Kluyveromyces lactis: one gene and its partners. The protein of the gene in region 3 binds, or shares a complex with, the protein of the main gene of each other region. Links are inferred from orthologs where the notes say so. Each region holds a gene or a part of one and is shown on either strand. Other genes may lie near its edges. The genes, in order: STE18, GPA1 and STE4.

What was found.
Region 1: the proteins of STE4 (region 3) and STE18 are in contact, whole or in part, in a cryo-EM structure (PDB 7AD3), measured with the Saccharomyces cerevisiae proteins. The link is inferred for Kluyveromyces lactis from reciprocal best matches to the Saccharomyces cerevisiae genes STE4 and STE18. Residues at the interface, in NP_014855.3 of Saccharomyces cerevisiae: Ile60, Ala63, Ser64, Leu65, Met68, Ala69, Leu75, Lys79, Asn81, Phe279, Asp281, Ser284, Met296, Asp298, Arg300, Ser301, Ile305, Ser360, Gly361, Arg362, Leu379, Gly421, Tyr422; in NP_012619.1 of Saccharomyces cerevisiae: Arg50, Ile51, Thr52, Ala53, Ser54, Asn55, Ala56, Cys57, Leu58, Thr59, Ile60, Ile61, Tyr63, Thr64, Ser65, Thr67, Lys68, Asp69, Tyr70, Thr71, Leu72.
Region 2: the proteins of STE4 (region 3) and GPA1 are in contact, whole or in part, in a cryo-EM structure (PDB 7AD3), measured with the Saccharomyces cerevisiae proteins. The link is inferred for Kluyveromyces lactis from reciprocal best matches to the Saccharomyces cerevisiae genes STE4 and GPA1. Residues at the interface, in NP_014855.3 of Saccharomyces cerevisiae: Asn85, Gly90, His91, Asn92, Lys94, Ser104, Gln112, Asp113, Phe115, Leu117, Ala122, Ser123, Leu125, Lys126, Gln127, Asn128, Ala129, Gln135, Trp136, Leu138, Leu154, Asn155, Asn156, Arg168, Cys182, Tyr183, Asp224, Leu226, Ser248, Asp272; in NP_011868.1 of Saccharomyces cerevisiae: Thr7, Gln8, Thr9, Ile10, Asn20, Lys21, Ala23, Asn24, Ile27, Glu28, Ser30, Leu31, Gln32, Glu34, Lys35, Asp38, Lys43, Thr301, Gly302, Ile303, Glu305, Leu318, Arg324, Ser325, Glu326, Lys329, Trp330, His332, Cys333, Phe334.

The regions. Positions count from the first base shown.
Region 1 is NC_006041.1:557,297-559,374, reverse strand, and holds STE18 (Ste18p), read left to right. Parts: upstream 1-1,233; coding exon 1,234-1,506; downstream 1,507-2,078. Other genes in the region: TMH11 (Tmh11p), read right to left, coding at 364-681; ERV2 (flavin-linked sulfhydryl oxidase), read right to left, coding at 1,644-2,078. UniProt on the Saccharomyces cerevisiae protein: Implicated in the pheromone A- and alpha-factor response pathway. The beta and gamma chains of the putative yeast mating response pathway G protein play a positive role in initiation of the mating response.
Region 2 is NC_006042.1:2,405,135-2,408,569, forward strand, and holds GPA1 (guanine nucleotide-binding protein subunit alpha), read left to right. Parts: upstream 1-1,462; coding exon 1,463-2,806; downstream 2,807-3,435. Other genes in the region: cytochrome c1 heme lyase CYT2, read right to left, coding at 1-697; SRX1 (sulfiredoxin), read left to right, coding at 3,147-3,435. UniProt on the Saccharomyces cerevisiae protein: Alpha subunit of the heterotrimeric guanine nucleotide-binding protein (G protein) that mediates mating pheromone signal transduction.
Region 3 is NC_006040.1:584,819-588,211, reverse strand, and holds STE4 (G protein subunit beta), read right to left. Parts: upstream 1,924-3,393; coding exon 613-1,923; downstream 1-612. Other genes in the region: KLLA0_D06809g (uncharacterized protein), read left to right, coding at 1-503; TBF1 (Tbf1p), read right to left, coding at 3,176-3,393. UniProt on the Saccharomyces cerevisiae protein: Implicated in the a- and alpha-factor response pathway. The beta and gamma chains of the putative yeast mating response pathway G protein play a positive role in initiation of the mating response.

The DNA of each region.
Region 1 (2,078 bases), on a different chromosome or scaffold from region 3:
AGTGAGAATAATCACTCAATCATCCACACAACCATACAATAAATATATCATACCCCATGCATTTTACAAGATTAAACTGGTTTTAATTTTCTGATAGTGGAATTTTTGACTATCAACCCTGCTTACGTTCACTACTTGTAACGAACACCTATCTTTTTTCAATAATATATTATACTACCATATATTATTATATTTCTCTCACTCTATATTATATGCATTTTACCAATTCAATATCATTTTTCCTGTTATAATATTAATATTTACTATTAGTTTCATGAATTCGACTTTAACATTAGACCTATATACAGATTTAGAAAAAAAACAGTTAAAACGAATGATATGTACTCACATTATGTAGTATTCTTATGGGTAGAATTCCTTGTACTTCTTGTAGTAGTACCAAGTACCCAGACCACCAAGAACAGTCAACACCACTGGCACTGGTTTCTTGAATCTGCCTGGGATACCTCTGGCGATACCGGTGACTAGCATCACACTGGACGCACCTAATGCGATTTCTAACCCGTTGTCAGCATTGTTCTTCAAAAGGTATCCAGCGTACCCGTAAATACCACCGAAGGTCAACCCGGCAACCAACGATGGAACACTTCCCTTACGGATGTAACCCATGGTACCACCAATGGTGGCTAGAGCAGCTAAAGCAAAACTTGGATGGTCCATTGTAATTGTTATCTTTGTGAATATTAGATGAACTCTGTCGGTGAGAACTAGACTGGGTTGTGCTATATAAATTGTGAGGTGTATTTAGTTTGAACATGTCTATCATGATGATGGTCATTGCATTTGTAATTTTGTTTTCACTTTTATCTCTGAATTTCATACAGGGAAAGCAAAGAAAAGGGATTGGATCGGGGTTCGACAGTCACGTGACTAAAAAAGGTCTCCTTTCCCAGGCGCTGGACAGCGTCAGTATGAGTTTTTTTTATGGCCAAAACCTCATTAGATACTGATTTGAGGTTTCAAGATGAACCACAACCAGACAAATATTGACTGAGATACTGGAGGTTCTCATGCCAGCGGGAAATTTAGTACAGGATTGCTAAAAGAAAACGTTGTTTCAGTCAAGGGTTTTATGTATATAAAGGTTTGTAATTGGTAGTTTTAACGCTTGGTACAACTGTTTTGCAGAAAAACTCGGTGCAGTGATAAGAGTGAGTAAAGATAAGCTCTCTTCCTTGGTGTAGTTTTCGAGTTTGTATTTGTGTACCACTGATGGGAGAGTTACCATATAAGATCCAGGAATTGAAATTGAGAAGAATCGAAGAATTGAATAATAAATTAAGAAATGAGCTAGCAAGGGAAAGAATGACTGCGTCAAATGCTTGTTTGTCCATAATCGACTATACCTCAACCCATAAGGATTACGCTGTTCCAGAAGTATGGGGTTACCCAATGGTTGGTGAAAACCCATATAATAATACTATGAGGAAGAACAATTTTGCTAGATCTCACGAGGAAACGAGTGCCTGTTGTACCATAATGTGATGATAAAAATATTGCTGCCGTATACTCTCTATGCTTATTAGTTACATATATATTTAGATAAAACGAAATGCGAATGCAACAATATTAGATCTTATTCTTTCAATTGACACATACGGAGGGTAAACGATTCCCTCACTTCATCCCAATTGTTTCTCCTCTTTGTTCAACGTTACTTTGTTCATTTTCAAAGATGGATCGATATTACCGTTCTCGTCAGTGCATCCACAGTCGTAATCTTCTAAGATTGTGTTACAATCGTACCTTGGTTTTTCAAGATGATCGTTCACTAGATTATGAATATGACAGCCCCATAAAGCAGCAGTGGTTCTACTGGCTACTTGTGGTGGGTATTTCTTCAACATCTTGACGAAATGGTAAGAACATTCGCCACATGGATATAACTCCGCATATAGGTAAAGAAATTCACGTAGTTTCGTTTTCTCTTGCTCTGTAGGCTCGTCGGGAAATCTGGCTAAAAGAGTGTGGAAATATTTCCATGAAGCCCGCCCCAAAGCCTTTTTCGCCTCCTGATCAGGCATCTTCGGCATAATCGTACCTGATGCATCATCGTT
Region 2 (3,435 bases), on a different chromosome or scaffold from region 3:
AGTCGATGACATAATCTATTTGTTTCCCGCAGCGATCGACGACCCAATCGTGCCTATCAAAAGGTTTGGTCATTCCAAGGATTGAGGATCTAAACCATGCTCTTGGGGTTAACTTCTTTGAATCGCCTTTGAAACTAGTCAATTTGATGCCACCACAGACATCTCCCCCTTGTCCGTCTTCCCAAATTTTGATATAATTCCATACTCTTTCATTAACGGAATTGTGGATGGGAACAACGGCTTTCATATCCACAGCTTCGGGATCCCAATTTTTTCTCTTCATTGCCTCGAAGAATTGCTTCTCTGATGGATAAACCCAATTATCCGATGTTCCGGTTCTAGGAATGGAGGATTTCTCTCTCTCTGTTGGCAAATTAACAGCTGTGGTATATTTCGGGTGTTCAGGTATCTCATCACTTGAACATTCGACATCCTCAGTGATGATCGATATGATTGGTGCTGGTGCTGCTGCAACTGCAGCACCGCCAGCAGAGCCATTAACGGTCTGTAGATGGTTTTTCAGCCATACATCCTGGGAAGAATGGTCTACCGGACAAACTCCTGACCCTTCAGAACTAGCCGGTGGATGATTTGGAGGTAGTGCTTTTGCTGATTCATTCTTATTATTAGTGCTCTGTTGTTTCAACCACACTTCCTTCGTGGAGTCATCCACAGGACACTTAGGCTGTTCTGGCATTCTTTTGCACTCCACAGTTAGCTTCTAAACAGTCGCGAATCCCCTTTAAGCCGCCAACGATGTTGCTTCTATATTTCGAACTATTGCGTTCAAGCCTATCCTGATGAAATGCGCATGAATAAGCTTTCCTGTATTCGCATGTTCTGCATACTTTTCCATTTCATTCATTTCTTTTCAATTGATATCAAATTGATGAAGTTTCAGAATGAAATTGATATCCACGGGAGATGACATTTCATTACCCGAATGTGCGACAAACATCCTTGTTTCTCACGTGACTTGACCTCCAGATGGAGACAGCTCTCCGTTGTACATAGCAATCGATCTTGCAGCCACCGTTAACATATTGTGGTGCAGTAATTACCTGCAGAGCGACTTCAACCTAAATCTGAAACAGGGACGTTGCTAGGAATGTTTTTTAAAAGGAAGCAAACCCTTAAACAGTGTCAAGTGCTTGTTTGTTTTTTACTTGCTTGTTTTATTTTCCAATTGAGCTTGATTTTAGTTGTCGTCTCTGTGAGATTTCTAGGGTATCTGAGTTGAGGTTCTTGACTCAAAGCTTCATCATGTTTTGAGGTTCCTATGATAAAGGCTATGCAATGCTAAATCAGGAATGTAAAGTAAATATTGCTACGTTACCTTTTAATATTAACATATATATAGACGGATTGGCCACATCGTGCCAACTACGGCGAAAACGTGAACTATAAAGGAAAATGAAACAAATGAAAGAAACTGACGCTGGCCGGCAAGAAATTAAGCATTATGGGTTGCGTCGCAAGTACAGGAAACTATGAGAACGAGGATGATCCCTTCATTCAAAATAAAAGGGCAAATGATCTCATTGAGCAAAATTTACAGCAGGAAAGGAATAAGAATAAGAATGAGGTGAAGCTCCTTCTATTAGGAGCAGGAGAAAGCGGTAAATCAACAGTGTTGAAACAAATGAAACTCCTACACCAAGGCGGATTTACCCATAGAGAACGAATGCAATATGGACAAGTCATCTGGGCAGATGCAATTGAGTCGATGAGAACGCTAATCTTACAAGCAGGCAAGTTGGGCATCGAATTGGATAGTGATTTGAAAAATGCACATTCGGGGCAATTGGTGAATACGGAATTACACCAATGCAAAGAGAAGATCTTCCGTGCTAACACATTGGACCAGATTGATGCCAGAATGGCGGGTGGTTCAGAGTTCCTAAACGAGTATGTGTTGAAATATAATGGCATAGGATCTAAGAAGAAGAGGCAAACCACGCTTGGATTCAAGGAATCAAATGGTGCTGATCCTGAAGAAGAGGATGAGACAGACGCTTTCTTGAGTGAAAAATTAGCCGGGACAAGTTATACTGGTTCCTCGGAGACTTCAGAGTTGAAACGTATAGACCAAAGTACCAACGAAGAAATTGCCTATGCAATCAAAAAGCTTTGGACGCAGGACAAGGGGATCAGACAATGTTTCAATAGGTCAAGTGAATTTCAATTGGAAGGATCTGCATCGTATTATTTTGATAACATTGAAAAATTCGCTCGAGTTGATTATGTTTGTGATGACATGGACATTTTGAAAGGAAGAATTAAGACCACTGGGATCACCGAAAACAGTTTCAAGATTGGACCAAGCACGTTCAAAGTTTACGATGCTGGGGGACAACGAAGCGAGAGAAGAAAATGGATCCATTGTTTCGAAGGTATTACTGCTGTGGTATTTGTAATAGCAATTAGTGAATATGATCAAATGTTATTCGAAGATGAAAGGGTGAACCGTATGCACGAATCGATAGTATTATTAGATACACTATTGAATTCTAGATGGTTTGCCAACACACCTTTCATACTATTCTTAAACAAAGTAGATATTTTCCAAGAAAAGGTGAAGAGATCTCCAATCAGAACATGGTTCCCCAATTATCCAGGGAAACTGGGTGATAGCGAGACTGGACTGAAATATTTCGAATCATTATTCTTAAGCTTGAACAGAAGTAACAAGCCCATCTACGTACATCGAACTTGTGCAACCGATACACAATCAATGAGATTCGTTCTAGGTGCCGTGACAGATTTAGTAATTCAACAAAACCTAAAAAAGAGCGGCATCTTATAAATCCTTTAGGTGTAATATGTCAGGTAACGCGCACACATTACATATAAGTTGTACATAGTTAAGCGATGAATAAGGTTCTAGATCTTTTAGAGGGTAACCTCAAATATTTGTCAGACCCCATCACAAAGGCCAGGTTAAAAGTGAAAAGGCAAAAAAACAGGGTGTTTCCGGGTAACGAAAGATAGCAAGCAAGTCTACTATTTAAGAACTTCAACAAGACACATAAGTACCCTTGCTTGACGAAGTTCTACTGTACTGACAATATATAGATACTTGCAGGATATAACCGTTAATCAAGAGCCATAAAAAAACATACACACCCAACATACCATTACAGAGAATGTCTATGCAGACGAGTTTGTGCAAGGAAAAGAACATCCCATTGAGCCAGATCATACGGCCCATTCAGCCGGTCCTAGACCATGCAAAGATCGATGCGATGATATCTACTTTCAAGGGAACACCGAAGGCGTCTCGAACAATGACCGAGTCACAAGCTGCAGAACGTGTTGCCACATTACCCGCCGATCAGCGTCTACCTCCAGTGGACGTCGCTGCCGTCCGTTACCCGGAAACAGGAGAAACAAGGTACTTTGCATTCGGCGGCTGCCATCGTCTCCAGGCGTACG
Region 3 (3,393 bases):
CCTATCACCTTCATCCCACATTTGAACGACCACTACGAAAACTCACGGAACCTCCCTTCACCCTAGATGAGCAAGGTTGGGGTGAGTTTGAGCTAAAGATAATAGCAAAGGTCAAATTTTGCTCGACAACTTACACTTTTCATCACGAACTATCCTTCGATAATAATGCGTACAATGTTGATTATGAGGGAAGGTTTCCCTACCATCAAACCAAACTGCGGGAAGAGTTATTAAATTCTGGCAGTGTACCAATTTACAATGAAGATGAAATAAGTTTGGGTCAAGTTACAAACTTACAAAGGGCTATTAATCTTATATCGGTATCTGATGTTGATACTATTCAAAAGGTAATTAATACAATTGTTACATTTCCTCCGGTATCTGAAGAAATTGCTAAGAGACGTCATCAAGAGGATGACATTGTAATATTATTGTCTCAAATTCCGAACCAGCTGCTCAATAAAATTTGCAGGTTGGTGGAGGCTTCCTCAGCTGCATCTTAAAGTTTCACTTACTGCGATGAACAAGAGCCAAACTGAGCGGTTTCAGTAGTATTATAAGGGCTATTTTGCGGCTTTTTTCGATATGCATTACCATTCTCAGTTCATCATTTCACTGATGAACCGGTGTCCAAACTTTTAGGGTCATATCCCATGAGCTAGACACTACTGCCATTCCATCAGGGCTCGTCTTGACGGCATTTATTCTGTTTCGATGACCATCAACTTTGCCAATCATTTCTCCTTTGATAATATCCCATACTGCACACCCGTAATCCGCATAACAAGCGTACATCAATCTACCAGAAGAGCTGAAATCTATTGATATGACTCCTTGATCTTCGATACAACTTTCCTTGAAATTCAAAGATTGAGGTGTTTTTACAATTGGATAAGACGAAGTTGAAGAAGAGGATGAGCCATACCGATTTTTTTGAATACGAGAATAAGCATGAGAATGAGGATGAGGATGATGTTGTTGTTGAAGCTGGTGCTGCTGAAGTAAACCGTCTGAAAATGAGTACGTCGATATCTGACAATCACTTCTTAAGTCAAATAACCTAGCGCTACCATCATCTGAACCCGCCATGAAGGATTCTCCATTGTTGAAAAATTTGATGGCACTAACATCACTATCACTGATGAAAAAACTTTGGGCTGAATTCGGCTGTCTAACATCCCATAGATACGCATACCCGTCCGATCCTCCGGTGATGAAATTATGACCATATCGACCAGTGTTTGCTGGTGGTAAATCCATGGTCAAGACATCGCCTAAGTGATCTATAAATTCCGTAACTCTTTTACTTTTAGGAATATCCCACATAGCGCATGTCATATCACCACTTGCAGTCAAAATAGTCCTCTCATCAAGAAACTCCGTAGCTGAAATGTAGCAGGTATGGCCCTTGAAGATGGAAATCACATTCTGTTGTATTCTATTATCTCTTGAAACACGATACACTGAACAATGATTGTCCAAACCCGCACTTGCAACCAGATTTCCGCTGGGACTGATAGCGCTACTCAAGACCCATTGGGATAACAAGGGGATAGCGCTTTTTTTAAGCCCAGTGAAGGGATCCCATATGATTATAAACCCGTCTTGGCTCGAGCTGAGTACGCTTGCCGAATCCTGGCTCCATTTTACGTCTGAGATTTTATTATTATGTCCTTTCAAAGTTCGAACCGGTTGTAAGTTTAACTCGTGTAATGAATTGACGCCGTGAGACAAGTTCATCAATTGAGTGTCTTGAATTTTGCCTTTAATTCTGTTGATTTGGTCGTATAACTGCTTGCACTCCGTCTTTGCTGTCCTTATTTTGTCCTCCACTGTACCAGCTGAATTCATATTGGGATAATGGTAATCGTGCACAATCAGTTCCTGTGGACGAATTGCATATTCTGCTGAATCGACTTCCATCTTGGATGCTGTTTGCAACTAGACACTGTAATAAGGAAAGGAAGGGGGTTGAAATGAAATGAGTAAGTATCGAACTTTGCAAACTTCAATCAATGATCACCAGCATTAGAATCTGCGATTCGATTAAGAGGCACTCTGAAACAGATTTCGTCCTTTCTGCTGATTTCCTCTCCAGGACCTTCATATATATATATATCCCTAATTTACTCACAACAAACTAATTTACTACAAATATGAACAAGGCAATGTACCAAAAATGCCCATTAACGCCGCGAAAGGAAACGACCATATTTCTTCCATCATGTATATATATATCATGCATAAAAGTCATGTCATTTTTGCAAACAACATTAAACCTCCGAACCAAAGCTGTACAGGCAATCTTTCTCTGCTATTTCACTTGTTTAACAGATTGTCAACTTCGATGTATATGCTGTACTGCTGTTAAATCCTAATGAACCAATGCCTTATTTAGTTCGCTATGTAACTCAATTGCTAATTGCAGCTCAAACTTCCAGTCATGGATTTAGACACTCCAAATAAAAGCAAAAGTAATATAAAAGATATCAATGCACATATTCAAGCGTGCTTTCCTTAGCGTCTCGTTCTACAGCATGAGGAATTGTATCCTCAAAAGGGCCAGTGTCGAAGCTCCCCAGTGAAACAGCGTTGTATATTTCACATGATGCCTAGAAAAGCCTCTCTTAAACAAGACAGATCTTACCAAGTTTTTGTGAAATGACAACCTCAAAAACTGTCGCTCTTTGCAAGACGATCTCCACGCTAGGTGAAAAAATAAAATAAAGGAAGCCTACGCGAACACTCAATACAGACGCAGACTATCACATAGCTCTCACACCTTACTTAGATACATTTACTATGGCGTTATGGCATTTACTGCGTTCAGTTTTCGGTGACAGGGGAAAAGGTCTCCGGTACCAGGAACGGTTAATGATGTGTGGCTTGTAGCAACCAAAAAAAACCACTGTTCTAGAGTCCTAACTTCGAATGCAACATGTAGTCGAATTTGCTATCATGATGCAATGATACTATGATATACCTAATGTTCCCACATGAAAGAGCTTGCTGGCCACAAACCAAAAAAATGTAAAGATTAGGGAATCGAATAGATCCTGTTGTGAAAAACTGCTGCATAAGGTTATTCAAGGACGAGATGATACTATGACTATGCATTCAATGATAACTACGAGTTTATATATGCTAAATTGGTCCCGCTTTCCCGACGCTCACATCAGACCGCTGGTTTGGGCTTGGATTTGGGTTTCTTCTTGCTTTTCAGACCTCTTTCTAAATCACCTGTCACCTTCTCCAAGTACTCTGGAACTGGTTTCATATTTTTTAAGTAGTGCATTTTCCAATTTCTTGCCTTGTCCTTCAGTTGAACTTGGGACCTGTTCTTTAAAGATTCCGACACCGTTCCTCCAGGACCGTACAGAGATAATATTTTGG